2 linked regions of the Neodiprion lecontei genome follow. The protein of the gene in region 2 binds, or shares a complex with, the protein of the main gene of each other region. Links are inferred from orthologs where the notes say so. Each region holds a gene or a part of one and is shown on either strand. Other genes may lie near its edges.

Region 1 (15,115 bases), on a different chromosome or scaffold from region 2:
TCCTAGTTTTAGCTCCTTGGAAATCAAGTTGGCAGCTAATTTGACGCACTGCTGGAAGTGGTCGGAGTTGATTACTGCCAACGTTGTTTCTGATCCACAGAAACTAGGGCGATTAAAATCAACGATACCTGGATATATGTATGCACGTACTTTCTAATCCAGGGTAAAAAGAGCACATTTTCTTCACCACGTGAGGGAAGAGACGAAGATCACGTACTTAAAGAAGAAATACACATGTTCGCCATTGACTGCTATTTTAACGAGCTAAAATGATCTTCAGAAATAAAATATACCGAGAGAGAGTTCAACTTTAGAAATTTTAGGACACAGGTACGTAATATTTTTTCACGCTTCTGGTTTAAAATGTAAGAAGAAAATCTCTTGATTTACCTTCACGTCCATCCATGTAAATTATCGTGTCTTGTGGCTGGTATGGAAGGTGTTCGTTGGAATCATCGCTAGTACAACAATTTTGTCCCATTTTGCCTCGGCTTGATATCTTCCGAAGAAAAATTTCAATTTTGCGACCGAGAGTTTCTAGGCACTATACAATAATAGTTTAACATGGGTGAAGTGTGTATTATCATATTACATAACCAGTAAGATTGCATTTCGATAAGATAACCACGATGTAATGTCGGCTCGTTCTCGTTAAACGCAAAACCCAGCAAGTAAGCGAATCATCGAAATTGATACCACGAACGGGGTTGTATCGAAATTCGATCATTAAGACTCGTATTTAGATCCAGACAGGTTTGAATCCACGTCGATGACATCTAGAATAATCTTAACTTTTCGCTCATACCGAAAATAATCTATCAAGTAGAGGGTAAAAGAGGAAAAATATCGCTGCGACTTTATTGTAAAATGGTGTTTATTCTCGTGACGGCTACCAACACATGCTGAATAACGTGTGTACGATAACGGACCACGACTCGCTCGAAAAAACACCGAAAAATATAACGCCGAGCACGTGCTTAACGCTTTCGGCGCAACGAGAGTGAGTTTCTTCTTAACCAGGCGGCGCGACGCGATCCACCGATCGTCTGCGAATAACGATGACCCTTTCCTAATCCACGTGAACTCCTGCCTACTGAGGTCTTTCCGCGCAGCTCGCGATGCTTTTGTACCGAGTTACAAATCCAGTTTACCTTTGGATCATTGCGGATTGCCTGTGGAGAATAATATGCCGTTAAAAATTAGGAACGCAAAGATATAAATCAAAATATTAACAATGTAATATAAGATAGGCCACCCAGTAATCAGACATCCAAGGAAGCAAAAACATCATCAGTTTCAATGCTAAAATAATGATATCATCATGTCACTGGGGGCAATCATGATATTTTTTTTTTTTGTAGCAAAAAGAAAAAATATCTCTTTTTTGTCTATATCTGAAAACTCTACAATTACCACAATACAAATTTTTACCTTGTGTGCAGGGTCAACGAGAATGATTTCATAGTATTTGTAGGACGAATCTTGAGCTACCCAGTAGCTGTTCAGCACACGCAGTCCACCACAGCGGCGACCAACACGTTCCTGTAAGAAACATGGTGAGTGAGGTCATTATTGCAAGATTGAATTAATTTTTTCTCTCATATTATTGCAGATTTATAAGTTGATATTGTGACTCTTACTTCAGCAATGGACTGCAGTTTACGTGTGGGCTTCAATTGGTTCACCCCGTGACTTTTTGGCTTACCAAAGGTAGCACCTTTGGGTACAGGGCGTTTACGACCTCCACGACGCACACGGATTCTGAAGATGACAAAGCCTGTAAGAATTTGTAAAACGATATTTTACTAATATTCAATATATTTAAAGATTAAACGAGAGTAGATCAAATACCCAGACCAAACAATGTTATTTAAAACTTTTCATCAGACAGTACATATCCCCACGGTTCAGTAAGAGTGGTGCATGTACAGTTCATCACAGAAAATATAAATTTTAAAGACAGAAATATGAATTTTGTTACATTCAAAAATATAAATTTGCGCAAATACCTTGCTTAGCTTTGTAACCCAAGCGGCGGGCTTTGTCGGGACGAGATGGCCTGGGTGCACGATGCATTTTGGTGAGTTGACGATACTGCCAGCATCTAACTCTAAGCAAGAAACGGAGCACATCGCTCTGCTTCTTACGGTACAGCTCTTGCATATACTTGTATGCACCCATCTTGATTCCCTGGTGTAAGAAAAAAACGTTCTCTTGATAACAGTTCAATTGAACATACGAAAATGATGTCAAATAAGCGGATATTTTTCAGAAAAAACAAGGGTAATTTTTCTCAATTCACTCAGGGTCAGAGTGGTGCATGCCCAATCATCATAAAAATATCGGAAACTACAAAGTTGTACTATTTCCGTACCCAGTCGAACGAAACAACCGTGCACGCGTACGACATGCGTTTCACTGTCAACTTTAGACATACTTAATGATTAATTAAATAAAAATAGACTAGCTAGTGATCAGATCAGATCAGCTTTGACGAAGGTAGTAAAAATATTTTATATCAAGCAAAGAGAAACAATTGCTGTTCGCTGCTTGGTACAGAATATATTTGCCGCTAGCTTTGTACGATTAATTGATACACTTGTGCGCTGGATAACCTAAAAGCACAAACGGAGTAAGACTTTTTGGTATTGCCTTGAGAATTGCAAACTATTACCGAGAGATTGAGGGTAAACGTATAATGGTGCAAAATCGAACGATAGAAGTTCACTGGAAGCTGTGATGTCCTGGATAAATTACGATTATTCAACAATATGTCCGACTCACCCCTTGCAATCCGAAACAGAAAAGGAAAGGACTTGAACTCCATCGTGTAGCGAGGTGCGGACGTTGGACGAGACGGCGCCACTTATCGCCGGCGTACTTTGCGCGCGTTCCAAAAACCATCCAAAATAGCCAGGAATATTTCAATTCTCTAGTCAATTAAGCGGTGTATAAATAATTATATTTGACGCGTTATTTAAATTGACATTTAATGAAGATTTTATCAAAGCTTTATATAATCCAAAAGCTCGTTAAATCTACTTTGTACATTATATATTATACGCAGAATAAATTCGTCGATGCAGCTGTGGGTTGAAAATGAAATCACGGTCGGGGGAAAAACGGGAATTCGGGTTTTGAAATCGTACGGACAAAGGAAATCATTTTCAATCTTTTGCCCAAACAGCAAATTGATGGTTCGTTTTAACGGAGCTATAGAATTCTATCGTACAACATTTTATACAGACACGCCTTGGGTTGGAATGTCTCGATAGTTATCAATCCGGAACAGAGCATTTATTATCTGAAGTGTCATCGCTGGACATGTGCCGCGTGATTATTGGACACTGATTACCAAGTATAATAATTCGAAAAAAAAAGTCTATTTGATAGCTAAATTACAGGGAACTTTATGGCGTTTCAATTCCGTTCTCGGATTTCTCTGAATTCAGTTGAGACTGCGGAATAATGTCGATGTAAGCGAGTTGTACAAAAGCAAAAAGCATGCAATATATGCGCGATCTGTCATTTTGACGTTGCTCATCATCGTGTCATCGCAATAACGCAGCGCATGCGTGTTACGGAGTTGTTTCGAGGTCCCGCGCAAGCGCGGGATATCGGTTTGGAGGGGCGTAGAAAGGAGGCCATATTGTACAGTTAAATTGAAAGGGAGAAAATAATTAATTGTATTATTTTAGACTGGGAACCGTCCAGTCACAGTAATTTTTCAAGTAAACACCCGTGCAGCCTGTCTAAATAATATACCGATCGGTAATCGGTGGTCATCGATAAATCGCTCCTAAAACGACGAGGCTTTTGTAAAATAAATACAGACAGCGACGTCGGAATATTTCTTGCGTATCCGTGATCGGAGGTAGAGGAACAAACGTCGTCGTCGTCCGCAACGAAACCAAGGGAGGAGTTCGTTGCTACCGCGGAGATGGGGACTCGAGACGACGAGTACGATTATTTATTCAAAGGTAATTGTACCCGTTTGAATAATCATAAACTCATAATCGCAACTCGATAATCAAGCGACGGAGCCATAACGCGACTATCCTCTGTCGGTTTGCCAACCTCCGACGAACGCGGCTCGGAACTCCATAGGACTCTTCTCATATAGTCATGTTTCACGCGTTGTTGTATTGTTGCTTGATTTAAGTGACATTGGCACATACGTACGTCACTTGCGTTCTTTCCGTCACGAGGAAACTAACCGTTATCGCTTTTCCGACCGCGAACAGATTATTGTTTGCAGGAACCGCGTTAACGGAATATGTTTGCCACCTTATGAAATTATTTATAGTTTACGCTATTCAAAACGCGGAGATACTCTGCGATCTTTCGACAATATCATTGATGGCATTTATTTGTTCCATTCGCACGAAATATCGAACGTTCCCGAATTACTTTGATTATAAGTTCCCGTTTTGCGTACAACGTACAATAAATAATCATGACGTCAGCAAATATCATTTCTTTTTTACTATTCTTTGTAGTCCTCATTTACGTATAACTCGTAATCAAGTAATGTGACTGTGTCACAACATGACTGAGCCTCCCTCTAGTCTGACTAATGCTTGTGCTCGGCTCTATATGAGTTGCTTTGTTAACAATGACCTTTGTCAAACTTTAGAAAATTATTTTTATGATAATTTTTTCACAGAGATGAAAGTTCAGTTTGAAAAATTTTCTGCACATTTATTTTCCAACACGCTGGTACTGAGAATTTTTGTGACGGAACAGGTTATTGTGCATCTTTTTATCTTTGTTTTGTCCATGTCCAACAGTAGTACTATCGCTATCACACTTGATTTGTTCGTCTGCTCGTAACATGTTTACAGGCTTGTCCTGCCTCCTGCTATACAACGAGCGCGACCTGACACCGAAATAATTTTAATAAATGAGTAAAGAATTCTCGTCGTCGACAATCGCCTACTTACATATATTCGATGTAGAACCCATTGAATCTGTTACCGCACATGCACATATCAACTTTAATTTGCATATATTACTCTATTCATGGCACCGTTTGATTGCAACTGAAATCAATTCTTCTTAGATTCTAGAGTCTAAGAGCACATCTGTAATTGATCGAGATCTCAAGAACTTGAGGTCAATTAATTTCCTTTCATAAGTCAGTACCGAAGAATTAGAACAATTCTGATAGGTAACAGAATGCCATTCGAGTACACGGGGGAAATTAATCAAGGTAATTCCAGTGACAATTGTGTTTGATTACAGTTGTCCTAATCGGAGACTCAGGAGTAGGAAAGAGTAACTTGCTCTCACGCTTCACACGTAATGAGTTCAACCTGGAGTCAAAATCGACCATAGGTGTTGAGTTTGCTACGCGCAGTATAGAAGTAGACAGCAAGACTATCAAAGCTCAAATATGGGACACTGCTGGACAAGAACGTTACCGAGCTATTACCTCAGCGTGCGTATATGATTATGGAATATTTGACTATTGTTCCTTGTGATTGGTCTGTTTGTAATTAATTTGTATTACATGTTGGATGTACGACAGGTACTACCGCGGAGCAGTTGGAGCATTATTGGTCTATGACATAGCAAAACATTTGACGTATGAAAATGTGGAGAGATGGTTGCGAGAACTTCGGGATCACGCAGATCAGAACATAGTGATTATGCTGGTGGGCAACAAATCCGACTTGAGGCACTTACGAGCAGTTCCTACCGACGAGGCTAAGGCATTTGCGGAGAAGAATGGCCTCTCTTTTATCGAAACATCCGCTCTGGATTCGACCAATGTTGAACTCGCTTTCCAGAATATCTTAACAGGTAACATGACAAGAATTCAGTTTCAATTTAATACGAAATTTTGAAAACTTATAATCGTCTTACGTTTCCTTATACATTCTTTCAACTCTTCAGAAATCTACAGAATCGTTTCTCAGAAACAAATTAGAGATCCTCCCGAAGGTGACACTATCCGGCCGCAAAACGTAGAGCCAATCGACGTTAAACCGACGATGAATGCTGACGGAATGCGCAAGCAGTGTTGCCAGTGACTCGCCTTACTGCTTTCTATGTGAGTGGCGCTGTGAAATTGATTCTATTATGGTCATTCGTTATTTAATTATTCTTTATCTGATTAATTTCCAACCATTACCTGACACAAACTATTCAAAAGCTTACATTTTACTAATTTAAGGACGTTTTTCTCCTGTTTCCTCTTACTTTCTGGAGCGTTCTGATATCATTCCAATTTTTCAGAAGCGGTTACATGGTGGGCTGGAGGGAGAGAGTGGTGACTGGTGGTAGGTACAGCGGATGCGTGGTAGGACGCGGACTAAGACTATATTTTCGATCTTGTATAGGTGTAGAAGATCTTTTTTTGGTCTGTTGGTTTAAATGGCAGAAAAAGATTCAATTCTCCCGAAAAAGCGACGTACAAGATAAAGAATTCACCGTGGCCGGCACACCATTCTGCCCTCTATTCAAATTTGTCTTATTTACTACTATACATATACATATATATACACATATATATCTACACTATTATACATATATGTATGTATATATATATATATATTACGTTATGATAATTAAATGTTGTATTACCGCTTCTTTGTAATACATATATAATTATTCTTCTCTACGCATAGTGTGATGATCACGAGTACATATACTATAAACAATTTATAAATAATAACACAATTACAATGATAATTGTGCAGAGCAGACGTCGTAATGAAAATACTAAATATCAATAAAGACGAAACGACGAAGATGGGAATGACTCCATGTTGATCACTACTTGCTCTCGCGCGCACGTAGTAGAATTAAAATAAAATGATACGCGCAAGCACTAAACTGTATGCTTTTCGACTTTATTTTTTACAAACAGCTTCGTGTCCAGAAAAACGTGTGAAATATTAATTTAAAAAATGAAAAAACAAAGGTAAAAAAATAATAAACAATTTCACGTAGACATTTAAATTTAATTTAAGATTGCGACCAGGAAGACATTTTGAGCATGTACAGATAAATGATTGATTGGTTTGATACGCGTGTAGACGCGTTGCAGATTGCGAGAACCATCTTTGTCGTAAAATAGAATGACTTGGAACTGAATGAAATAAATCGAAGCAAAGGCAACAGCGAACAACACGTTGTGGAACTTGAAATGTCTAGGCTTCGCGCACTACACGAGAGATTAACAACTCCTAATTACTATACAAAACATGCTTTAGAAGAAATGAAGGAAAAAAATCTTGAGAAAGAAAAAATTAAAAAATTAAACACACTGTTATGAAAACCTTATGATATGCGTAATTTACTAACCTTATTATTAATTACAATTACATACCTAATTTTTTTTTTCTACACATTTAATTTTATTCATATTGAAATAAAGACGTCTCTTTCGTTGTATCAAATAGAAAACGTCTTAGTGCTGATTGTGGTTTCCTGATTAAATCCATGTAGGTAAATGATAAATTTGCATTTTAGCAATAAAGAATATGAAAACAAAAAAACTTTAACTTATTCTACTAGTTAATGTGAAGTGGCAAAGCTTTATTAAAAAAAAAGAAAAAAAAAAAAAACAATAAAAACCATTGAAACTCGTTCCGTTCGTTTAAAAAATAGATATTTTTTAATCCAATCCCAATTCTTAAAATCCCTCGAAGGAAGTCATCTACCCAACAGAGTAGAAGCAATTTCCATATTTTCGAAAGGGAAAGTGGTGTAAATTGCTTCGATTTTTTCGATTTTCATTCTCATTTTCGTATGAAAATACTGAAGCAGGCATTTGATAAAATAATTATCCAGTGTCATGTCAAATGATGTGACAAAAGACTGTTCAATGCTACAAGGAATAGCGATTGACCAGAAGGATCAGCTAAGATGCCTGCGACACTGAAGCGGGTTCCAGACGAATCGTATTTCTGTTATTATTGCGACGATTTTTCTGACGCCATTCAAGCCACCGTACCAATTCAAGGTTTTGAGTAGCATCGTTTGTCTCTGCACGAGATTCCAGCTGTTGATAATACGCCTCTCTTAATATTCTAAACATTTGTATATTTCTGTACGGTAGCTGTGTCACTGGATCCATATACCGTGCAGGAAGTCTAAAATCATTCAGAAAATATAGTGTATTAGTACCTGATTATTTCAAAGTAATCACCTTCAGGAGTAATACATCAATGTCGAAAGGCCGTAACTTACCTTGTAATTGCACAAAGAGATTTTAGTGAGGGGCGAGGAGCAGGTGTACGTTTGAAAGCTTCCGTAAAAAGTCGTTCGTTTTCAAATGTGATGAAAGTTCTTTCGTATTTAGAACCTGTATCTTCATGAATGATTTGACTTTCAGCTTCATTAGGAGCTGAGCTCGATTCTCCCTTCTGTTTAATAGGTGTATCTTTGTTACCGCCGTCAATAGTTTTTTGTTGATCCATTATTTCTCTGAAAAATAATTTTGAAAGTAGTTAGAACTACGGCAGTTATGGACGTTTTTGTTTTTTATTGCGGTCTGCATATTGCAAAAGGCTTTACACAAATAACGACCAATTTAAGTCTCACTGTTTTTCAGACAAGGGAGGTGATAATCCAGGTTCTAGAATATCACTGGTTGTATTAGTGGTATTTTTTTCATCGTCAGCTTCGACGTTAATTTTTTCCTCATCTTTGTCAGCTTGTGTTTCAGACAGCATCAAAACAGGCATAGACAAAGATTGGTAACGTATAATGGGGCCAACATTTGTCTTTCGCACTGTCCTCGTGTTTTTCTTCTCGTTCTCTAACTTTTGGTATTTTTCTGTCAAAACATGTTAAAAGTATGAGTTGAATAACCATCCATCGGCACAGACAATCATGTCTTTTTACTTGCCAGCAGTATTATTCATTACCTAATGATTTTAAATTTACTTCCTCCGTGATGAGGGCTTCCTCCAACAGTTCTTCCTGCGTTGGCTTCCAAACGTCGTACTTTACAGTCTTAACTTTTCTCTTCAGATCCTCATTTCTCTCTTTGAGTCGTCTTTGGGTCGCTGCCGACTTTGCAGCAGTAGAACGACGAATGGATTTTCTCTCTTTAAAACGAAACGGGGATAGTAGTTTGGCATGAGGCTATAAATACTGCTGATCGAATGGCTATGATCACGTTTATCGCCATTGATATTTCCTGATATACCTGAATTGTCAATAGAAGTTCGACGTTGCCTGGGTGTCTTAGTCTTTTTCTCTTTAGGAGTAGAATGTGAGTGTGCTGAGGTAGGTTTAGGCTCTTTGTATGCCTTTGTAACAAGGCGTCGTTTTTTTTTGGGTCCTTCTTGTTCGGGATCGGAAACAGGCTCGTCATTTTCGTCTATACTAAAATCTGAGTCCACTTCATCCTCGCCTTCGTCCTCTTCCCTGAGTATTCAACAACATTACAATGAAGTATTATTCTGTGAGTGAAATACTAATTTTATGGAAATATTAAACAGAATGTTTGTCAATTGAAATTCTCATCTAACTAACATGTAATCGTTATCCTGCTCGACTTCTTCGAACCCTCCGTATGTAGTTTTATAGAAATCATCCTCTTCTTCTTCGTTGAGTAATCTTGCCATTTTATTCCCAGCATTGGAACGTCTCTCTCTCGTCGATGCCATCGTAGAGAAATGTTTTTTGACAGCACGATTGATTCAATAGTTCACTTTCTTATTAATTATTGTTCATTCGAGGAGAAGATCTTTGATTCAGTGATGCCTGTGAGGCTCAAGCCACTATTGACGTGGGTTTTTGAGGTTAGATCACACTTTCGTGTTCTCGCCAAACGCGTGGCTGTGCGCAACTGTCAGACGACTGTTTTTTTTTCAAACTGAAAAACAACGAACCTTCTATATTCGAGTGTAATTTTTTTTTCAGAATAGAATTAAGACGTTTCGAATTGTGACGTCAGCTACAAATGATAACACGTTTGATTGAAGAAAATTTTGCCGACATTGCTGAATGTATACTTATTGGCTGAACATGCAGAGCACAATTTCTGACAGAAATGCCCGTACAGCTAGCTCTGTGGAGTGGGATATAGAAGTGAACCGAAAAACCTTTCCCATTTTTAATAACTAGACAAATTTCTATACAAGACGAAAAATTATTTATTTACAGTACTCAGGGTTTCCAATTTAAGAAACTATCCTGGATGACAATTTGCTTAAATATACTATTAGGCATGGGCTGTGGAGCTGTTCGATTACGTTGAGCTTCGTATATGTACGCTACTTTTTCCCTAGCTGTAGCTCTCGGTATGTCTCCTCGGAGACTCAACAATCGTACGAGATGATCTTCGGTCATGTCAGGGTATTTTTCAACGAGTGAATGTAGATCCAAAGATAAAATTTCAGAATCCTCGCAACGCAGTACTTCGGCCAGTCTTTTTATTACTTCGAAAGGCGAATCAAAGTTGCCCACTTTGGGTGCAATTCTGACGAAAAAATTCTTTATCTTATCAGCCTCTGTCATAATTTTTGATGTGCAAGTGAGACATTCGTCGTACGTCTTTAGCGATATCTTTCGCTGCAGCATAGCTGCTATATATCGTTTAGCTATCAGATTTTGAGCCTCTGTAATGACATATTCAAAATTCTTTACTCTAAGGTGATTATAGTCCTGAAAATAGTCCTCCAAGGTTACGCAGATCGTTTCTACGGGTATCGGCGAGGAGAGCCATTTTGGGGTGAGGAGATCTTGGAAGTGGAGTTCCAAGTCTAGGAACGACTCCTCCAATAAAATGGTCGCCGCCTCATCTCTCAGCTGTTGGTAATTGGCCAGGAGAGCCTCAAACCTGACAGCAGCATCACCGCTGGCATTGGAAACCCAGTAAAGTTGTTTCATTTGCTGAGCGAGTTCAATAAACTGAAGGCAATTGTTTACAATGGTGATCATGTGGTGAGTGAAGTAAGGAACTCTGCTCCGATCCTCGAAATGTTTGCTTTTGAACTCAAGTATGGCCTGACGATACGCCGCACAGTATCTCACAACTTGGTCTATACAAAGGACAAGCGCTCTGGCAGTTAGTTGATTGCTGATCGTTTTCGTTACTTGGAGATTCTGATCCACCATTTGAAATATGATTACCGGTGCTGCCGTGTGGTAATAGGTTTCTTGCGTACTACCTTCTGGCAGTACTCCGCTCCACCAGTCAACCTTTTCAGTTTCCAATGTCTTCTTCATCCATTCTTCATAGTTCTGTTGCATGTTCTTCAAGTATTGATCCTGCAGTTCCTCCAGGACCTCGTTGCTCAGCAAAGGTCCTATATCACTGGTGTCGATGTTCAGCTCCGGGTGTTGCATTAGTTCTACACCTGTATAAGTGTTCATTATCCAGGCAAGCAGAGATACGTATTCGTTACCCTCTAGGCCATTTGCTATTATGTCTTTCAAGTGTTGAGATAGACTGTTATGGTACATCTCTACAAACTTCCTGACTATGTTGTAAGAGGGTGGGAAGCAAGGTCCGCACAGTGTTTTTACCACCCTTAGGTCCTCGAGGATGAGGAGACGTGCCAATTCCAGATACCTTGCCAGCCACATTTTATTGTCTGCTCGTTCATCTACATGAGTTCCCTCGACTCTGTTGGCCACAGATTTCTCCAATACTTCAATTGCCATCTTTTTCCAATTCTTCGGTCTTCCCGGAGGCATGAATCCGCTCTGCTTATGCCTTTGAATTGCAAACTGATCCGCCTTCTCTTCCCGTTCAATTATCCTCAGCGCCGTAACAATGATGGTTGGTTCTTTTCTGACAGTGTTTAAAGTGCGACCAACAACCAATTTAATTTGCTTTTCCATTAACTGCGACAAAGTTTCTACATCTTCAAAGTACGCTTTCAGCATGACTTTATCGGCGAGTGATTGATTGGGCAGCTTGTGCAGTTCGTACAGCAAGTCGTCCCTCGAATTCTCCAAATCCATCAAACTCTGATGGGCGTGTAAAAGTTTTCCTTCGTTTATCCATTGCTTCGTCTTCTCAACGCTTTCTGGAACAGTGAATATGTGTTTCAGGTTCTCTTTAGCGGTGACGTACTGCGAGTGTCGCATGTTCTCATCTTGAACAGCCTGCAGAGTGTTGTTCAGCTCAGGAGCGGAGCCAAATGACTCGCCGATCAGGTCCAGTTCTTGTTTAATCAAGGAGATACTTTCCAGCGACTCTTGAAGCTGATTGAAACCGACTCTCACCCCGTCCAATTGACTTTGCATCGCAGTTTTCAACTTCGTTTCAATCGAAGCTTTTTTCCGACTGATCCTACGCTTGTAATGTTCTACTTTTTCCAGCTGACCAGGACGCTGGAGCATATTTATTATGTGTTTCGTCGCTGTTGCCTTAGCTTCCTCTTCAGATTTTCGAAGGTCCAGCATTTTTTCTCCGCTCTCGTTCGTCATTATTATTTTTAAACCTCAATCACTCTGTTTGTTGATAGTAAGCGTTTGACAGCCGTCAGTTTTTGAGGTTATAACACAGCTGACGCCCCCATGAGCCCCCATCTACACACCAGAGCCATGTTGCATTTAATTTTCTTGATCGGCGAAGTTTTTAGCTAATAAAGCGATATCATTAGTGTGTTCCGTTAGATCCGACCAATCCTAGGTTACTTCATTTTCAAACATAGTTCATACAGATTCATACACATGGCACAGTAGCCCTTAGATTTCATAGTGCGTTTTTCTCACATGTTTTGTAATTATCAATCGACTTACATATTGGATAATTTACGACAGAGGGCTGGTCCTGTACCAAAATGAAAGTCAAGGTGCTCTGCAGAAATCCCGATGAATATCTGAGAGAAACCAAACGAGATATTCATAAAGGTATTGCACGTATTTCTACCTAGTTTTTCTAACCTATAAACCGTATTGTGTACACTGGATTTGCAGCGAAACCGACAAAAAAGAAAATTAATCTTTTTTCTTTCATTTTTTATACATATTTACTAAAATACTTGATTTCTTCTAGTTCCCAGAAACTACGATCCATCCCTGCATCCGTTTGAGGCTGCGAGAGAGTATACAAGGGCTTTAAATGCAGTCAAGCTAGAGAGAGTATTCGCCAAGCCATTCATAGGGAGTTTGGATGGCCACAAAGACAGTGTGTCTTGTCTTTCCAAGCACCCTCTAAAGTTATCGATGCTTTTGAGCGGAGCATTTGATGGAGAGATTAAAGTGTGGAATTTATCGCAACGCGTATGCGAGCGCTCGTTTCTGGCTCACGACGGTATAGTTCGAGGTATTGCATTTTCATCGGATGGGGAAAGCTTTCTGAGTATCGGCGATGACAAAACTATAAAGACCTGGAAGGCAGAAAGTTCAATAACGGGAGAACAGGAGGATCCTATTAACACCATTGTTAGTAAGGTGAGTTCGTATCTGTAAAATCCTCTTAAATTATTAAACAAAATTAACGCAAGTTTTTGAAGATACTTTTATTTGTCTGAATCATCAAAGTTCTCATGCTCGTATAAAGTAGGTACTTTAGCCTCTTTAACTTCATCCAAAGACCTATTAATCTCGCTAGTGATGTCACCTAGCACACTCGAAGCGCCGATTCTGAACAGGCTATTATGGAGCCATACATCGCTCAGTTCTTCCTTGATCAATACCAGCCACTGCAGCGCTTCTCCCCAAGTTTTTATACCTCCAGCTGGTTTAAATCCGACCTGAAAATACGCAAGTGTTACCAAAAGTATTTCGAACGAAATTACTAACTTATTGCCCGTACCTTGTAACCAGTCAAGTTATGGTAGTCCCGAATAGCTCTGCACATGACAATCCCAACAGGTAAGGTAGCATTTACCGTTTCTTTTCCGGTAGAAGTTTTTATAAAATCTGATCCAGCCATCGCTGCGATTATTGATGCTCTATACACATCTTTGAGGTCAAAAAGTTCACCAGTTGCTAAAATAGTCTTCATTTTTGCTTTTCCACAGGCTTGCTTCATTAATTTAATCTCATTGTATAGTTTTTCCCACTGATGAGTTAACGCTAGCGTTCGATTTATGACAATATCTATTTCTGTAGCTCCGTTCGAAACTGCGAGCGAAATTTCATCCATCCGGGTTTGCAACGGATATTGACCGCTTGGGAATCCGGTAGCAACTATGCACATCATTGGACATTTGTAAACTCATCGTTGTTGTTTTTATGTGAAATTTTGAGTCAGACATTTCTTACCGCTAGCCACGTTGACTTTTCCCGTGGCATTAAGGTTTTTCAATGTTTGCACAACATCGGCGACACGCGCAGGATATACACAAACTGCTGCAGTAGACAGAGAGCCTTCCCATTCAAATGGTAATACGATAGGCTTAACAGCCTGAAAATATTGAAATTGTTAGATCACATCCATCCAAACAGTCTGCATTTAATGTCACCTTCTTAGTGAGTCTTTCAACACTTGCAAAAGTGTCATCACCACCCAGTGTCGTCAGATCTATGCATGTTACTGCTTTGATCAGCCATGCTACACGGTTGCATTCGGTAATACTATTCGCCTTTTCAATGATATATCTAACTCTGGTATTTATGGCTGGTACATTTAAATTGATGCGCTTGATCAAGGCTGGAATAGTAAAAAGTTATTAGCTTACTTCAATTTTTACTACTTTGAACAAGTTTCACACCCAGAAAGGAATACAGTTGAATCTCTTACAAGCATCAAATGGTCTGCCAAGGTTCTTTTCTACCATCTTGATGGAGTTGAGTAATTTTAAGATAGAAGAGTAACGGTGCTTGGTAAAGAACTTGGAAAACTGTCTTATCAAAATTAGTGAACTAGAACCACTGTCTTCTACACAGATGCGGGCACTTCTATCAACTCCGATCTTTTTGCCATAGAGCGCGGCGTAACCGTGTTGATAACGCTGCAATTTCGGTAGCCGGAGTGTGCAGGGTGTGCAACAAAGAGGCATATATAAAAGCCAGCCTCCCCCTCACCGGCGCCACCTGGCACATTTTTAGGTCACGGTTTTAGCATCGACATAAAGAATGGACTGCGAGAGCGGGCCAAAAACGTGTCCGCCGAATGGAAAGAGACGGACAGCAGTACGGGCCTATTCGTGTTCTTGTTTCAGCTACGCGGTGGGATATTCAATCAATAGCGGTC
Region 2 (17,247 bases):
TATGCTCACGTTTCACCGTGAAAAATGCTGATAATTGCGAGTAATTTAAAGTGCGTATCATAAACCGCTTGAGTATGAAACGGAAAGTTCGTAACGTGTCTTCATGGTCGGGATTTGCAATCAGCATGCCATAACAGAAAAGAGATTATCGGAACTTTTGACGATCTTATTTCCTTTTTGTTTTGGAAGATTCTACGGTTACAAGCGCTGCTCGGTAAACTGACGACTGGACAAAACGAGACCAAGGCCAGGATAGTAATAAGTAATAGACCACCATATGGCCTGGCTATCAGCCGAATATGCAATTTTACCTTGTCCATTGCAGATAATGGTTAGCAATATCTCAACAAAGTTGTTCTGTTCCTGGCCGCAAGGCCGGTGTCCTACTTGCTTAAAACTGCTCATAAGGTGCCACGGCTTACTGAGTCATCTCCATCCTTTGAACGCGTATTCCGGCAGACTTTGAAAGTCAATCGTTTCAATGTCCAAAGTACCTGCTGTATGATATATCCATGAAATTGCCCAATCCCGCGGTGATACTTCGATGCCGATGATTTGATAAAATAGATCACGATCTTTGGGATTGTCATGTTTCTGGTGCGATCTTTCTTGGCTAATATTCATGCATAGCACCACAAGTTTTTCGACGAAATCTGTGAACGGAGATTCCGTATTAAAAAGTCGTAGAGTGTCGTAGAGATTCACTGTCAACTCATTCCAAGATACCTAATTGTCAATTTTACAATTTCGCCGTATTTAACTTCGTGATTTCTTGGAATTTGACAACACTATCCTGTTTTATTTGCTGTTTTTACATACATCCCTGCAAGGTTTCGCGAGTGGTACATTTCTACATCAAATTTAATTTATTGAACTTTTATTCAAATTTCAGTTTCATTATTAGAACTCTGAGCTATTTATTTATTTTTGTTGGCCGAAGAGAATGCTTGAATGTCCTCTGGGAAAATCATGAGACTAAATTAAGTTATCGCACTCGATTGAATCTCTATTGAATATAACGAAATAGTGTACAGATAGAAAATTAACTTACACCAAAGTTTCATTTAAGAATACTCTGATTTTTTTTAGAATAAAATTTTCACACAGAAGAGAGTTTATTATTCACAGAGATTCATATTTCATATTTAGATACAAGCGAAAATCAATGATTTTAAGATGAATCCATGCTGGTACGGGCAAGGATGCAAAAGCAGTGCACAAACTTACCCGTAATCGATGAAATATATTTAAATTAGATTTTGTTTCAATCGATTGCTACGCTTGTTACAGTGCATGAGTATAAAAGAGCACTGTCGGGAGGCAGAAAAGCCTTCACCGAACCACAACAGAGTGTGTAACTTATGTGATGACTCAACCTGCAGCGATGCAGAATATCATAAACCGTTATGAAGAGGTAAATTTTATAAATAAGTGTGTCATAAACTTGAGCGAGACCTTATCCATTTATTTATTTAACAACATAAATCCGTATCGTACTCCTACATAGGGCCGGGATGAAGTGATTCATACCCGGTTCCCTTTTTCATTTCTTTGCTTCTGTTCCTCGCGCGAATCGTATTACAGAGAAAAGCGAAAATCATATCGGATCGCCGAACGTAAATTCTAAAAAAATTCTCTCTGCATACTTACACGTATCGTACGTATCATATATTTGAAATAATCTGCGCTATGAATAACCGATGTATCGCGGACGGCGTCTCCCTGCAGATGGCAGAAGCTATCGCAACTGCTGGCATAAAATAAAAAATTTCAAAACAGAGAACTCCTCCGGGAAAACACCCTCGAAAGTAATTATTTCTATACATACACACGACGTTAAACGAGGGTTAAATTCTTGAAATTAAATGACATCTAGCTATATTTTACCGTTTATGGTTGTTCGACTGTTTTCCGCCGCGCCAAATTTATGCGCCTCCCACATTAACGAAAGATGCGTGCGGTATCCCATGTTATAAATACGACATGTTTCTGGGGCAACGAACAGCTGAATAATCTCTGACGAGCATAACGAGCACGCTCATTTCCCCCCACAGTATTGTACAGCGGTGTGCGATATAAAATGTATACGCGTATCAAATAACTATGCCATGCAAACAATTCTTGAAACTTATAGGTATGATTTTTTCTCTGTCGTCTCGTACGTTATGAAGTTACTCCCAACTTTGGCATCGGGGGAATCAAGTTTCCCTCGGACCCGTGTTTTCATTTTCCTATCCGTAAAAATTGCCTCGCGTTTATAGCCGCTAGGCCAGCCGCACGATCCGCCGTTTCAAAATAGAACCGACCGATGAAAACGGATATTTTAGCACCTCTGTTTACACCGACGAATTCACGAAGTTTTTATATTTAATTTCATGCGTGAATTTTTTCTCATGTTAAAACCAAATTGTGTAAAATGTGGTTAAAATTTTTTTCATAGCTTGCACAAATCTAAATGTAATAAACTTGACACGCCCTCATTCCATTTTTTTAATTGATGATTCTTCACAAATTGAATCCGCTCAGATATTGTGCAACACTCGAAGTTATGCTGTTTGTAAAAAGGCAAAAATAAATTGTGCCGATGGCACAGTTTTCTGACAATCAGGCAACAAACGCATTGCTATTATGGTTATTGCATCGTTGACGAAACGTTTTATATGACGTCTCGTGACCTACAGACCTGTTCGCAGACTAAAGTTATACTACCGTACTACGCACAGAGGTAGTAAATCACTTTTTTCACGAAAATGTGTTATGAGTCTTAGATGATGTTGTATCGACTGGTAAACATTCTTATTGTATAATCAATTTGAAGTATTTTTTAATAGTAAAATTACTGTATCAACTACTAAGATATTAATAAATTACGCCAAAATATATTAATATTCTTAGCATAACCTCTTAAGTTACGACTAAAATATCTTAGTATTCTTAGCGTAGCTGCTTAACCCTTAGCTTAAGTTGCAATTGAAATATCTAAGTATTTCATTGCTTGTGATACTCTCTCTAATATGTTTTCCCAGAAAATGATGTAAAAAGTAGAATTTATTAACAAATAATTTTTAAATTATTCAAATTCATAAGATACATCAGGTAATCTTAGTATTAAACGTTACAAATAATAATTCTCAAAGTAGCTAATACAAAAAATTTCAATTTTATTACTTAATTATCTAATAATTAACATTTTTATAACTAGAATAAGTAATATAATCTTTTATCTTCGTGATTCAATTCAAATATGAGAACTTGTCCGCTAAAATATTATTATATGAAACTGAATATCTTAGAATGGTAAGAAAACAAGTTACCACCTTTCTGCTTAATACGGTAGTACAGCTGAGGTACGAAAATAATACACATTACGTGTATTTCGTAGTGATCAAGTGGCGATCTGTGGCGATACATATCATGAAACTATTATTTCTCCCAACGTTTGAAATTCCAATAATTCAACCTGCACTGCCATCGTACGCGTGTATTTTAAACTTTGGCAAGGGCTTACATTCTTCGGTCAAACACACAGAAGTCATCCCGAGAATGATTTTTTTCATACCCGGTAAAATCACGCCCTACATTCCATTGTAGGTGATTGATTGAGAACAATAAAAAAAAAAAAATGTATGGGAATGTTATCGGAACCCCGAAAAAATGTCACTTCAATAATTACCTACGTTATAGGGGTTAATATTTGTGGACAAACAGTCCAAGAGAAATGTCGTATGAGGTTATTTTATTTAAAAATGAAATTGCACACAAGTTTGAAATAACTGAATACGAAAATATTAAACCATAGAGAAAGAGGAAAATATTATGGTAATTGCATAGTAAATACAAGAGGGACAATGCAGTTTGACAGTGATTATAATAAGCGGTAAAATGGATGCATTGGCTCATTTTGCTGACATTTTAATATAAATGTTGCATAATTCAACTTAATTGCATTTACGGTGATATTCCGGTGGTGCTGCTCCGTAATCTTGAAGACTGAATAAGTCGCTGCTATTCTTATGCAAGTATCTCAAAAAGTCGTGTATGTGCGCCAAAAGTAACTGAATACTTCTCTCGTCGAGAGGTGTGTAAGATAACATACTGCCAAGTTTCACTGTAGGATGAAATTATTAGAGTACTTTGAAATTTACTCAAATTAAATTCACATTATATATATGATATTATTGACTACATCGCACTCATACTCGTTAGGCGAAGTCGTATGCACGTATCTTGCTTGCAAGGTATCGGTGGCTAACACAAAGCATGGTTTGTATTGCATACTGCGGCCTATTACACGAGTTTTATTTACAACTACTAGCGTATGCTGCTTTTAGATTTTTTTTTTCTATTTTGACTAGTCAAGAATATATATGCAATTAATTCAAGACAGTAGATGAGAAGGATTAACGTGACAGTAGCGAGGAAACCTGGTGGTCCAGTGGGTATAAGTCCAGGTATAGGCCTCCACTGGTCCCAGGGTAGATTCTCCTGGTCGTCCGTTAATTTTTCTCATTGAAAAAATTGCACTTTCATTAATTATGAAATTCACTAGGTTTGTTATGATTAATATTTTTAACCAAATCATTTTCTGAAACGATATGTGCTACTTTGAATCCAATACAAGACTTGAGAATAAATTTGTCGCTTACCAAATAGCCTGAGTAGGTGGAAAGCTCCGTATATTTGACTGGGAGTTGAGTCTGGATTTTCAGTCATTACTTCACTGTATTGTTGACGTTCCCATCGATAAAGTAATTGCGTACCTAACATCACATTGAAATACTCCCGCACGCCTTTTGTCACTTCTAGAACAGCGCTTTCTCTGCAGAAAAATTAGTATGAAAAATAATGTTTCTGTCCGAGCTATTATTTAAACTATTAGTAGAAAAGAAGTTAAAACGTATTTGCGTTGTCAGTTCGTATGTCTGTGTGTTATGCAATGGTCCCAAAACTCAATTTGGTGCCATTCCACTCAGGTCCATGGTTTATGCGGCTATGACTTCCTGGAGCGGAGTAATGGACTTTTAAACTGAGTAGAGTGAGGTCTGAGCAAACTCTAGTTGGTCATAAATTTTTCAATTAAAACTGAACATTTACATACTTATTGGGGTTGTTGGTTTTACTAGATGTCTTAAATTTGACGTAATCGTCCAAAATACGATCGACTGTATTCCTTGCAGGTAGTATTGCCAGTTTGCGTTGCCTGCTAATAGCATCCCAATCATCGACAAGCCACGGCTTCAGCTCATCAGGCATTTTAACCTTCACCTCAACTTTTGTTAAGAACTGCTCCTCCGTTTCCACAGAAGGATCAACGCGGCTGAATATAAATGAATCAGTTTGATTCTATTAACAATACTACAAAACTTTTACCAATCTAGTCACTTGTTGTTATAGAGAGTGAAGAGAAGTAAGAACCTTCTTTTTTTGCGCGGTGCATCAGACGACGAATCATGGGACGATGACGGTGTAGCACCCCCGCCAAGCCCTTTGATAGACCGGCCCCCCGTCTTCTCAGCTATTCCAACAGGAGTACTTGCCCGACTTTCACTATCTTTGTCTCTGCCACTCTCACTTCTACGCCCTTGGGCTTTAGTAGTGGTCCCAGTCTTTTTACCTTTGTGCGAAGGCTGCTGAGTTGAATGGGCACGTTGCACTTCTCTTTGTTTTTGTACATTCGACTCGTTGTACTTCAGCACTCGACTCTCTGGCACCCATTCATCCCAACTAAAAGTAAACAGTCATCCGTCCCCTTATGTAATTTGTGACTTTACTCCATTACAGTAGTATCTAGGATATGATAAAAGACTAATGTATCAGGTTTCATACTAAAAGTAATACTGTATTGTTCTCAATATAAATCAACCCTGAATGTAAGGTATAAAACTGCATTTGTGAAATTATTTTTTTATATTTACCTGGAATGGCAATCTCGCATTAAAAGTTAGGTAAGAATGTTTCCGACATTTAAGGTAAATAAGAATGTTTTAACAATATGGTAATAAGAAAACCAGTTGCAGTATACATCTGCGCAAAACGCGATATATCAAATGCAAAAACACAAAATACATCAAATTCAAGTATCCTCATCTCAAAAAATGCTTGTTTATTAATGATTATGATTTATTATTTAATTACCCATTACATAAGCACAGTGATATCACATTCAGATAGTGGTAGAGAATACTTTGCACAAAAAAGTAAATACTGTCCTATAATTCAATAAGTGCTGGTAAATTTTTGCTGGTTTTTAGAAATTGTAATGTAATTAACTTCCAAATTTTGGAGCGTATGAACTATCCAGGTTTATTAAATGAGGAAAATGGGCATATGAACATGTAACCACTTAAGAAAAGTCCACCCATTTACTGGATTTTGATAGTTTCAATAATTCAACAACCAAATGAACAAATATTAGGAAAGAGATTGAAGATTGTGTTTAAATGATTCTACAAAACAATGCTTAACATTTGTTATAACCTGTATTCTTGCAAATACACGCGAACCGTGGTAGAGTTCAGAAAATAAGAATAAACGGTTACTTACTTTTTGTTCCAACCCGCATAGTGTATCAGATATTTAATCTGTTTCTCCTTGGTAACCGAAGACTTCAGGCATTTGGCTTCGTATATTAATGGTCCGTGAAAACAGAGTACTTTTTCTCCTGAAATCCAATGGTATAATAATTATGGATTCAACTATCGCCAATTTGAGTACAAATAATTACAATTACCACACCTTCTTGAAATTTACACTTCGGTGGCATTTTGTTTTTGATCTTTTTACACTCTACTTGATTCCCCCCAGTTTATTTTTGTTTGATAAAATAAATAAACAAATCGTTTTTGATAGCCGACGATCAAATTTATAGGTTAGGGCACAAGACGCTTATGACAGACGCCTGACGCTCTCTCGGTCGTACTCTGCGTAACTGATATCAACCTCACACAACTATACAATCCGTGTCTCCAGCGTGATGGCAAGGCTGAATCTGGATTCGTGAAGAGAGTAAATCAATCGCAACAGTATTATACAAGAATGCTACACTTTGTTTGCTTCTGTGGAGTCTCACAATATACGACACGCTCGAGGTCCGACGGAGATGGTAGTCTTTCACAGGTAAACAGGACGATGAGTCATACAGAACGTTGACTGAAGAATTTAAGTACGGTGACCCCTGGGCAAATTTTTATGACTGCGACCGGTACTCGTCGGATAAGTTCCGTCAGCTTCTTCATTGACAAACACAAAGTACTCCATTAGGGTAACCGTCTTTAAGGGGGTGCTCTGGCCGATATCGCCAAATAACGAGGTCCAGGGAAAAGGGTTAAACTGCCCTACTCTATATGCAATTTTGAACAAAAATACTTCAATACATTTTCATTTGACGCACAAATAAAGGGATGGGATGCTTTCTGTAAAATCGCTACAGTAAATTTGTGGAGTACATGCCATTTCTTTATTTCTGCGTCAAATGAAAATGTATTGAAGTAGTTTTGTTCAGAATTGTCTATAAGAAGGGAGTGTTGAGTCCTTTTTCGCGGTTGAGGTACGTCGACTGCAATATATGTATATATATAATTCAGCGTCGCAATGGACCAGGACATTCCCTTAATGTGAAATAAGTTGAGTCAGGGATCTCATTACTAGACCTAGGACGAAATTTTATGCAAATTCAATTTAATGAAAAACTTCCCGGCTGCTATATGAAATTGCCGTATATTTCTGGCATTTTTAAGGGCAATTTCAAATTCCCGTATAATTCTCGGTTTTCCAGGAATTCCTGGTCGCTGAACACTCTGTAAACGGATAAAAGCATTTTTTGTATAAAAAATCATCATTTTTTCTATTATGCGGATGTGTCATAATTTTATTCTTCCAAAAACTATAATATTATTTAAAATTTATAATAATGCAGTAAGAATTAGTTCAAAATTGAGAAAGAAGAGAGAAACTCCGAAAAACGGGATAAGTAATTTGCGGAAAAAAGTATAAAAGAGAATCATACGCTACAGTCGTCCCGCTTTTCAGGTTAAAAAAGTGTACATTTTGTTTGAATCAAAAATAAAATATGTAATGATTCATCAGATGAAGTACGACAAAAATCTGTGGAACCCTTTAAAAGAGAGATTAAGAATTGTGTAATGAAAAGAGGCAGAAACTACCAGAAGGTAATTATAAGCAACTAATGGAACAAAAAACTGAAATAAAAACTACTAATTGTTAGTAAGGAAACCACCCTACGGAGGACTGACAATAAAATAAAAAAAAGCGAACAAGCATCGCAATAACGAAAACTCCACGCATAATCCACGCGTTTGAATAAAATTCAAACTGATTCTATGATTTAAAATATGTTTTTTAAGCACCACACGATAATGGAATCTCAATATTTACTATACTTAGTTTTTCGATGTCGGGATTGAAATTTTTTTTTTTATCGGTCACAACTTTGTCAAATGTTAATGAATTTCAAGTTTTCTGGAATTTAGAGAAATGCTCAAAGGCCTGAATACAGTTAATGCCATTCTAATTGTTTTTGCAAGTTATTGAAACAATGCCTTGCAAAATTGTGAACCGAAAAAAACTGAAAGCAATGAAGAGAAATTCAAAATGAAAGATTGTAACTAAAATTACATTAACTTTATGATTCCGTAATGGATTCCGATCGGAAACAAAAAGAAAACAGTCTAAAGAAAGAGCAGTTCAGAATTAAGCGCATTTTGTATTGATTGTGTAATATACATATTATAGACAGTGCGAATAAAAAATTACAGTGGCATCAACTGTATTCAGGACTTCTGACATTTCTCTAAATGCCAGAAAAATTGAAATCCATTCATATTTGAAAAAGTTGTGCCCGACCAAAAAAATAAAAATTCCAATTCTGACATGGAAAAACTAGAAAATAGAAAAAGAATAGTGTTGTTTGATTACTTTCAGATTTTTAAAATGGCGGTTTCAGAATAGGTCCTCAGATTTTCTTTAAATTTCACGGGTGGCTCAAGAAATCTGAAAAAAAATCTGAGACACTTTTGGGTCGGCAAGAACATTATACTAAAAAATGATCCAAATCGAAGGGGGTGAGGTACATGCGGTGTTAATTTGATGTAGAATGTCCCATACACAAAACCGAAACATAGAATCGTCAGAATTCTGACCTTTTTACATTAATTAACTCTTCCATATTTCTAATTTCTGCTTTTTTAAATTCTGTCACATAGATATTCACGACTTCGAAAATTTTAGTTTGTAACTTCTGTTTTCTGATCTTTCTAGATTTTTCACCCTATCCGCCATAATGGATATAAAATTAATTCGAAATATGTAATATATTATGGAACGAGCAGAAATAGTTTTAAAACATCACAACGTAAAAGAAGAATTACAGTTATGATATGTAAATCCACGTGAAATCTCTTGCCTACAAGCCGAAATTGCATGGAAATCTACCATACTCGTCACGAAGTCATTCTACAATCAATGTTAAACCCCAATTCGTGTGAAATCGATATGAAATTATGTAAAAACAATTAGAAATTCCGTGAAATCACATATAATCGCATGAAATCATACGAAGTGGGAAAAATTAGACGTAGTGTATTGCAAAGATCTGAAATCACTTGAAATTATCCGGAATCACTTGAAGTCATACGAAATCACTTGTACACTAAAAGTCTGAGTGAATATAAGCCCCTCCGATAGAATCAGGGTGTGAGTAAACGTTAAAATTGTTGGTGATTTAGCAAACGGAACTCGCTGTTTCGGCCTTATAGCATCGCATGGGTTGTGAGTTTTGCCGCTGGCTTCCGGCATACTATTCTTCAGCCGGAGCGTAAGTCGGAGTGCTCAGACTGCCCAGAATATCGTCTAATCTATGGTAATTAATATTATACCAACATTATACAAGATTGGCAATCGACGCATGCGCATTGTGTGGCAATGCATCAGACCTCATGCGCACTTCTCCGATGCGCACAACCGTGAATAAAAATTGGTAGATAAATGAAAATATCAAATGAAAATATCTGAATAATAGTGAATTAGGTTAAACGAACAAGTCAGTGTAAAACTTTAGGTGAACAAGCTTATTTTTCAAATATAATTTTTACTAGTTATGAGTCTACTTGATATTCCTGTGAGGGTAGAAAGGAAGCTAGAGATAGTGAATTTTTAATTTCCGGCCGCACGCGACAGCCCAACAACAGCGCCATCTGTGGGTCACGAACGATAGTGAAAAGCTCGATATCAGTCGCCTACTGAGCAAATTTGTAAGAGATGGAGCTGACCGGAGAATTGCTACAATCCTGTTGAAAAGGTACGTGCGTTTGAACGCTAAAGAATGTTCCGGTATCGTTCCTCAACTGGAATAATCAGATACTCCGCTCAGATATTCGGGACTAACCCGAAGCCCCGTAAGCAAAGGCCACAATGGGATGACCAGACGCGTCCCCTGGTCGCTCGAAACCTGCGACGTATACGTTCTGTACATCATACGCTATTCTCTCCTGGAACTTAGCCTTCCGTAGATTAGGTTAATTGGTCGAGCCTATTTACATGTATCACCTCGCCAACATTCACTTTAGGCGAGATCCATCAGCCGGATAAATCGAGTTTTTCCATTTCTAACCGCCCAATATTCCAGCAATTCTACCAACTTATTCTGTTTAACAATCTCAGATTGTTCTGTATTCCTCTATCCGCAAATACCTACATAGGTATACATGTCACTGATAAGGATCTTGCAATTACAATCAGTTTTTCGGTTTATTTCTCACTGTCAGTCAGCTAAACTATAGTTCAATGTTCAATAACTTGCAATATATCAGAACAGTAACGCGTAGACTTGCAAATTCAAATCTCATACTAAAGTCCACAAAATCTCTTCACAATGATTTTTTATCACTTGTCCTTTGCAGCGACTGGATTAACTTGATACAATTTGATTTTGTATTTGTTGACAATTTTCATTTTCGTTAAACTGTCGGATCAGAACTGTGTAAATTTTGTGTGCAATCTAAACTTTCTTTAGACAAAGTTGGCATACTTTCGATTTAAGCACTGTGAATAAATGCATGGTCACAGAGAAAAGAAATAGCTTGAAATCCATTGAAAGTATAAATATGTATCTTTATAGAATCAAAGTCAATGATATTGTTTTTCCTTTTACATATCTAATATAGACGCTGGACAATGCAGACTGTCACGAATCAAGTTAAACAGCTTCCCTCGCGGGGGCTGAAGCAGGTGAAAGTAGACAATTGGGGGACATTTTTTCTCCAGCGATTGCAACAGCTCTATTTTGAAGAAGAGTTACTAGACCTTACAATCAAATTTCCAACTAGTGACATCACCGTACAGGTACATATTTTACTTGTATTTACTCTTATTGAACAGTTTAGCAAACTTCATGACGCAGCTGGATCATTTACTTCTTGTGGTACTTTCTAAAACATGATTTGACAACTGTCAATAGTATTTTTATTATTAATCCTAACAGGCTCATCGTCTAGTAATCACAACATGCACAGATTACTTTACGCAACTCGAATGCCAGCTCAAAGAAAAAGATGATAACTTTGATGGTGTACTTGTCATGCCACCGGATATGCCTTATGAGTGTGTCAAGTCTATCATCAGGTACCTTATGCTTTATTTTTATCATTGATTTTCAGAGGCTTGGAAAACAGTACATTGTATTATTGCCATTCAATAACAAAGATAATGTACCTAAAGTGATAGCCTAGAATCTTTTTGACACTTAGTTTCCACTGCAGAAAAATGTACAATGTCGTTTTTCAGTGTTTTTTTTTTCGTTTTTTCCACAGTTTTATGTACACTGGTCAATTGGAGTATTGGACTTCAGAACAAAATGCTCTGTATCGGACAGCACAAAAAATGAACATGACTGTCTTAACGAAGTTACTTGATGCACAATTTAATACCACAGACTTGCAATTGAATCCATCACCAAAGTCAAAATCTAATGTTCAACCAGTAATTACTATGACAAAACCTGTCACGCAGAGCAAAAAAATATTAAGTGGTCTCAGTCATTCGACAATTTTGCCTTCACAGCCATTACCAGGACGAAAGTAAGTACATAGCTATCAATTTTTTACATAATCATTTACCATGTTATCATTTTTTGTTCATAGTTTTTATTAAAATATTCAATTCGCGACGAATTTTTTCAGGCTCCCAATTTGGAAAAGAAAGTTAGACTCTGCATCCAATTACGACTACCCAAATAACTCATTTGGTAAGGATACCACTCCTGGTCCCTCTCGATTCGATCTCCCTGAAGTGGAAGATTTTGCTTTGGGAGTATTTTCCTCTTTTGACGACATTACCTATAACACAAAACCTATTGTCAAGGCGCCCAGCTCACAAGACGATTGCGACAATGAACTCAAAACTGGAATAAAACGTTCAAGAGACGAAGATAGACATTATAAAAACGAGACTTCAGATGATGAGGAGGGTGATGATCATGGTAGGAACCAAGAAACGGCAGCAGACAATTCAGATGATGATTGGGGCGGTCCCAAGTCTATACTAAGACCGCAAGAATCCAATCAGTCTCGGACTAAACGAGTAAGATTTGATTTAGAGGAAAAAGAAAATTTAGAAAAAGCTAAGAGTACCTCATCGCCAACAAACACCCCAGAAGCAATAAACAATCACGCTAAAATAATAAGAGAGGTTCTCAAAAAGTATCCCCACTTAGTTAGAAATAACAAGAACATACGTCTTAAAATCATGCAGAAGGAGGCAAAATCAGCCGAACCAAGTATTCCGACTAAAACTAAAGTTTCTTACGTTGTGCTCAAGTCTGACCACCTGATGGGTAACACGAACAGTGAAAGCTCAGAAGAGCCTAAGTTTAGCGGAGGGGACGGAACAGAGTCAGGTCCTTGGAAATGCAATAAATGTGACATTGAAGAAGAATATGCGACTTATTATATGTATAGGAGACACATGCAGGATGTTCATGATGAAAGGTTTGACCCGAGGATATGCGAACACTGTGGTTATAAGGCTACTAAGCGCAATATATTAATGTACCACCTTTATACGAAACATAACGTACCACCTCCTAAAAGTATGTGTTTCCCCAAGTGTCATACATGCTCTTATGTCGCTCTATCTGAAAATCTTCTAGCTCGACATCAAATCAACAACAAACATTGCGCCCCTGCTCATCAGCCATCTCCGTCATCCGAAAATGTTCAGTGTTCACAATGTGCTGAGACTTTTGCAGATATATCAGAGCTGGCTAGCCACGAGATGAACACAGGTCACGGAAACAGAAGCGAAATTAGAGATAAACCCCATCGTTGTCCACACTGTGGTAAGCTGTTTGTAAGAGCGTCAAATTTGGAGGTACACATTGATTGTGTCCATAAAGATATATCAAAAAATTCCGACATCGCGCCAACAGCTCCAATCGCTCTAGAGCCGTCATCCGAAGCAGAAGCACTGAGTCATGTGGCTAGTGGAATTGCAGCATCCCTGGGTGTAGGTGATGCTATTGCAACACATGAACAAGTAATTACAACAGATCAGACGGAGTATATTGTTCCTGAGATGCAAATTACTGATGGAATGCACAATATAGCGTATAACGGACAACAAGTTGGTGAAGAACCACAAATGGTTATGCTAATTGATAACAGTGAATATCAACAACAAGAGGGAGGTGACCATCAGCAAACAGTACACCAATTGAACGTAGGGGTTAATGAACAGATAGTTATGCAAGGTGACGAAGATGGAATGATTGTTTACGTCCATGAGAATGAGGAAGTTAGTCACGAACATTATCAGGTCGATGACTCGGCAGCGATATGTCAAGAAACTGAAGAAATTGTTGAAGAGGTAGTAGAAGAAGTTGAAGAAGAGGTTGAAGAGGTAGAAGAAGGGGAAGCTGGTGAAAATGAAGAAACAGAGGACATGGACGCAACTGAAGAAGCTCAAGAAGCAGAAGTAACAGAAGAGTATGAAGAGGCCACAGGGGAAAGAACAGAAAACGAAGGTATGGTTGAAGAAGAAGGTAACATTGAGCAAGGGGAAGACCTGGTCCAATATGTAGAGGAAGAAACAGAAATACTAGAATATCATGAAGAGCAATTAAATGAGCATACCATTGAATCCCAACCGGCAGAAGAGTCTGTCATGATTATAGAAGAGGAACAAATCGAGGCAACAGAAGGTGAAACAGTGAAAGAAAATCCGCGAGAAAATGTGAAAGCTGGTACCATAGCTGATGAATGGGATGATGACAGTGCAGACACGGGTACAACGTAGGTAATAAAAAGGCTTCCTGATACACAATAATAAATTGGTACTGAGAAAACATCAAATAAAAATGATTTTCACTGATCTGTCACCGATTTGGTTTTTTCGAGTAGGCAAAATATTAAAAATGAAGGTCAATACTCCATTTCGATTGTTATAGCCGTATCGATTATAAAAAAAATTTGCTTCCTGGAGTATAGTAGATCAGAATGAATTAGACTAATGGATATTCCACAAACAGTTTCACAATACATACAAGGATATGTATTTTATATGGTCAACGTCATTCGTCAATTTATTTAAAGTGTTGAGGAAGATTTGGTTGTTTTCTGTACTTTTATTGGGGTAATTAGGAGCCCACGTTGTTGTTACAGTACAATTGCACAGTACTTTTTGATTCTTGAGGATAATGTAATTTTTCGATAAACGCCATTTACTTCAGAATACTTCAGCTCAGAAACTTCAACTATCCTACTCTTTGGACATAATTCAGTAATTTAATTTCCACAAAGGTTTTATCTCATAAATATTAGAAATTTTTTTTACATTGAAACTAATCAATAAGAATCATCAGTTTACAGAAATACTTTATTTGATACTTATTTCAATAATGACCATTAGAGCATTTAAACTTTTGTTTAAGTTCATTCAAACTGAATTTTTATTTTTTATTATTGCAAAACTTCTTTCCACAAATCGCTTCACTGTCATACTTTATAATTCGTTATGGTTTTTTTTTTATTACGATCACAGATCAGTTTCTAGATGCAATATTTCTTACTTTCTGACATGTAGGAGATGAATATTAATTCTGCTATTCAAGTGGTCAACACATTTGTAATGTCTCGCGATTAGTAAATCAGATACGCTAAAATCTTAAGAACTACGTTCATTGTGTTGCAAGTAATAAGTGCAACTTAAAACATCAGCGTCATGAGTGTATAAACTTCACCTACAAAGGTTTTAAAATTGATGTGAATAAAATGAGAAATTATTTACTTAATGTAGCCTGCTTTCTGATGACTTTCCAAAACTCATCATTGTGTAGGTGCATTTAAAAGAGTAATTTTACATACCTAATATTAAGGCTGAAACTTGTTGCAGGATATGCAAATTTCTTTCATTATATCTAGCAAAAATGGAATTATATTTTTGACTTCGACAGATTAATGATGAGATACAGATTAATACTAGAACAAACGCGTGTTGCTACAAAAATTGTTTATCGGTATTGCATTGTCACATCTTCACTACTATACATTTGTGATGCCCTAAATTTCAGTTTCAATTAAATTCATATATTAGCATGCATGACTAGTACATCAGAGAGGATGTGTGTAAGATACGTTTTGAATATTTAAAAATTTGTACTAAACGTCGACACAAAACATGAAGAGACTATACGAAGAATATTCTCAATATCGTGCAATGTTTTAACAGAAATATCTATAACTAATGACCATTGAAAAGAATTGTGTATATTTATATATATTTCTCAATATAACTGAGAAAATAGTTCTACATTTAATCCATATCTGAACTCTCCAGGCTTTTGTGGCCACATTGTGGCATTTCACAATGAACATAGAGGTAGGCTGAACTGACAATTTTTTGATATACTCTGAGTTATTCAAGGTTGAACTTTGAGGAAAAAAAAATTCATCGAAGCTTATGAAATTGAGGCTATTGATTTCTATATTTCAAAAATGTTACAATGTTTGTTCATAAATTACAATTTTAGATATCGAAATAGGTCAATAATTGGGTCTTGAGTTATGAGTAATCCAAACATTGACCTCTGGTATAAATATATCGTACTTCTCGATTTAGACAATTCTCCTTTTTGTAGATTACTCATTTGAGTCATTGCACATGCCTAGAGCAGTAATTTGAATATCTAAATAACTGTCATACATCCAATAAACTTAAGCAATTTTAAAAATCAGGTCAGACTACCTTTTTTAAAAAAAAAAAATGTGCACCCATTTAATGGTTTATAAAGATATGAAAAGCGAGAATAAGTTTTACGTCCATAGTGTACCATCAATTAATTGGCATAATACCAACACTATTTTGGCAATTATCTCCAACGTATTTGAAACCGATGCATGTATGATTTTTCTATTGATGTATATTATGAATGAAAAATTAGACGTCAAATTCACGTCATTCAGGAATGACATTCCGTTCTTTGGGTTGCCGAAATTGACTGATTTGAACAATCTAGTTTTGAAAATACTTAATTAATTACTTTTGGTAATAAGAATTCATTGTATTTTCAGCGTGAGGAACAGATAGAAATTAGTCATTATATACGAAATATACATATATACAGAAAATATTTTTGTAGCGAAAACGCTGCTACGCCAAGGACACAAAAATGATGTCTGTTCACTTACTTTCTTTTACATTTTATTTTGAATTAACATTAAAATATTCTACTATGCAACACTGTACCAAGTAGCATTAAAACAAATGAAAAGCGTATCATTGGCATCTCCCGAATATACTTTTCTTCCTTTATCAATACTATGTCCAGGTGTTTTCCTCCCAGGGCCTTGGTCCTCTTTTGTTTTCCCAATTATCTATGTCAAGCTGCAAATAAGATAAAAATAATGTTGTTGCAAATGTATTTTCTGTGATTATCGAAAACAGGACTACCCACGTCCTTGACAGAGTCATAAACTGTCTCTAAGGTCACTTCGCCTGGCTTTTTCATATCAATTCCAGCTTTCTTAGCTTCTTCGTGAAGTAATGGACCATCGTCGCGATACTGATATCTATGTGGAGAGAATTTAATTAGCGACAGAATATTCAGGAAGAGTAGGGTTTATTATTTGAAAAACGAGAAAAACTAAATAGGAAAGAACATCTACCTTATCGAAGTGACCTCCTTGAGACCAAATGATCCAACGAGAACAAATAGCATGAAAGGAATACCATAGCGTC

What was found.
Region 1: mortality factor 4-like protein 1 (region 2) and vacuolar protein sorting-associated protein 72 homolog share a complex: the UniProt entries of both Drosophila melanogaster proteins name them as parts of the tip60 chromatin-remodeling complex. The link is inferred for Neodiprion lecontei from reciprocal best matches to the Drosophila melanogaster genes MRG15 and YL-1.

Annotation. Positions count from the first base shown.
Region 1 is NC_060260.1:915,181-930,295, reverse strand, and holds vacuolar protein sorting-associated protein 72 homolog, read right to left. Parts: upstream 9,979-15,115; 5' UTR 9,627-9,978; coding exon 9,493-9,626; intron 9,385-9,492; coding exon 9,164-9,384; intron 9,063-9,163; coding exon 8,880-9,062; intron 8,789-8,879; coding exon 8,554-8,788; intron 8,437-8,553; coding exon 8,200-8,436; intron 8,103-8,199; coding exon 7,871-8,102; 3' UTR 6,373-7,870; downstream 1-6,372. Other genes in the region: 60S ribosomal protein L15, read right to left, coding at 978-1,172, 1,432-1,542, 1,641-1,777, 2,010-2,190, 2,785-2,904; ras-related protein Rab-11A, read left to right, coding at 3,941-3,980, 5,245-5,440, 5,531-5,805, 5,899-6,035; exocyst complex component 3, read right to left, coding at 10,129-12,399; deoxyribose-phosphate aldolase, read right to left, coding at 13,437-13,670, 13,733-14,109, 14,185-14,326, 14,385-14,572, 14,663-14,921; DDB1- and CUL4-associated factor 13, read left to right, coding at 12,756-12,825, 12,971-13,368. UniProt on the Drosophila melanogaster protein: Part of the Tip60 chromatin-remodeling complex which is involved in DNA repair. Upon induction of DNA double-strand breaks, this complex acetylates phosphorylated H2AV in nucleosomes and exchanges it with unmodified H2AV.
Region 2 is NC_060265.1:18,752,326-18,769,572, reverse strand, and holds mortality factor 4-like protein 1, read right to left. Parts: upstream 9,847-17,247; 5' UTR 9,621-9,846; intron 9,588-9,620; exon of another isoform or gene 9,441-9,587; coding exon of another isoform or gene 9,422-9,440; intron 7,794-9,421; exon of another isoform or gene 7,230-7,793; 5' UTR 6,764-7,229; coding exon 6,736-6,763; intron 6,662-6,735; coding exon 6,544-6,661; intron 5,725-6,543; coding exon 5,416-5,724; intron 5,318-5,415; coding exon 5,099-5,317; intron 4,820-5,098; coding exon 4,647-4,819; intron 4,109-4,646; coding exon 3,939-4,108; 3' UTR 3,113-3,938; downstream 1-3,112. Other genes in the region: centrosome-associated zinc finger protein CP190, read left to right, coding at 11,191-11,358, 11,498-11,637, 11,826-12,092, 12,195-14,307; cytochrome c oxidase assembly protein COX16 homolog, mitochondrial, read right to left, coding at 16,828-16,893, 16,964-17,078, 17,175-17,247. UniProt on the Drosophila melanogaster protein: Part of the Tip60 chromatin-remodeling complex which is involved in DNA repair. Upon induction of DNA double-strand breaks, this complex acetylates phosphorylated H2AV in nucleosomes and exchanges it with unmodified H2AV.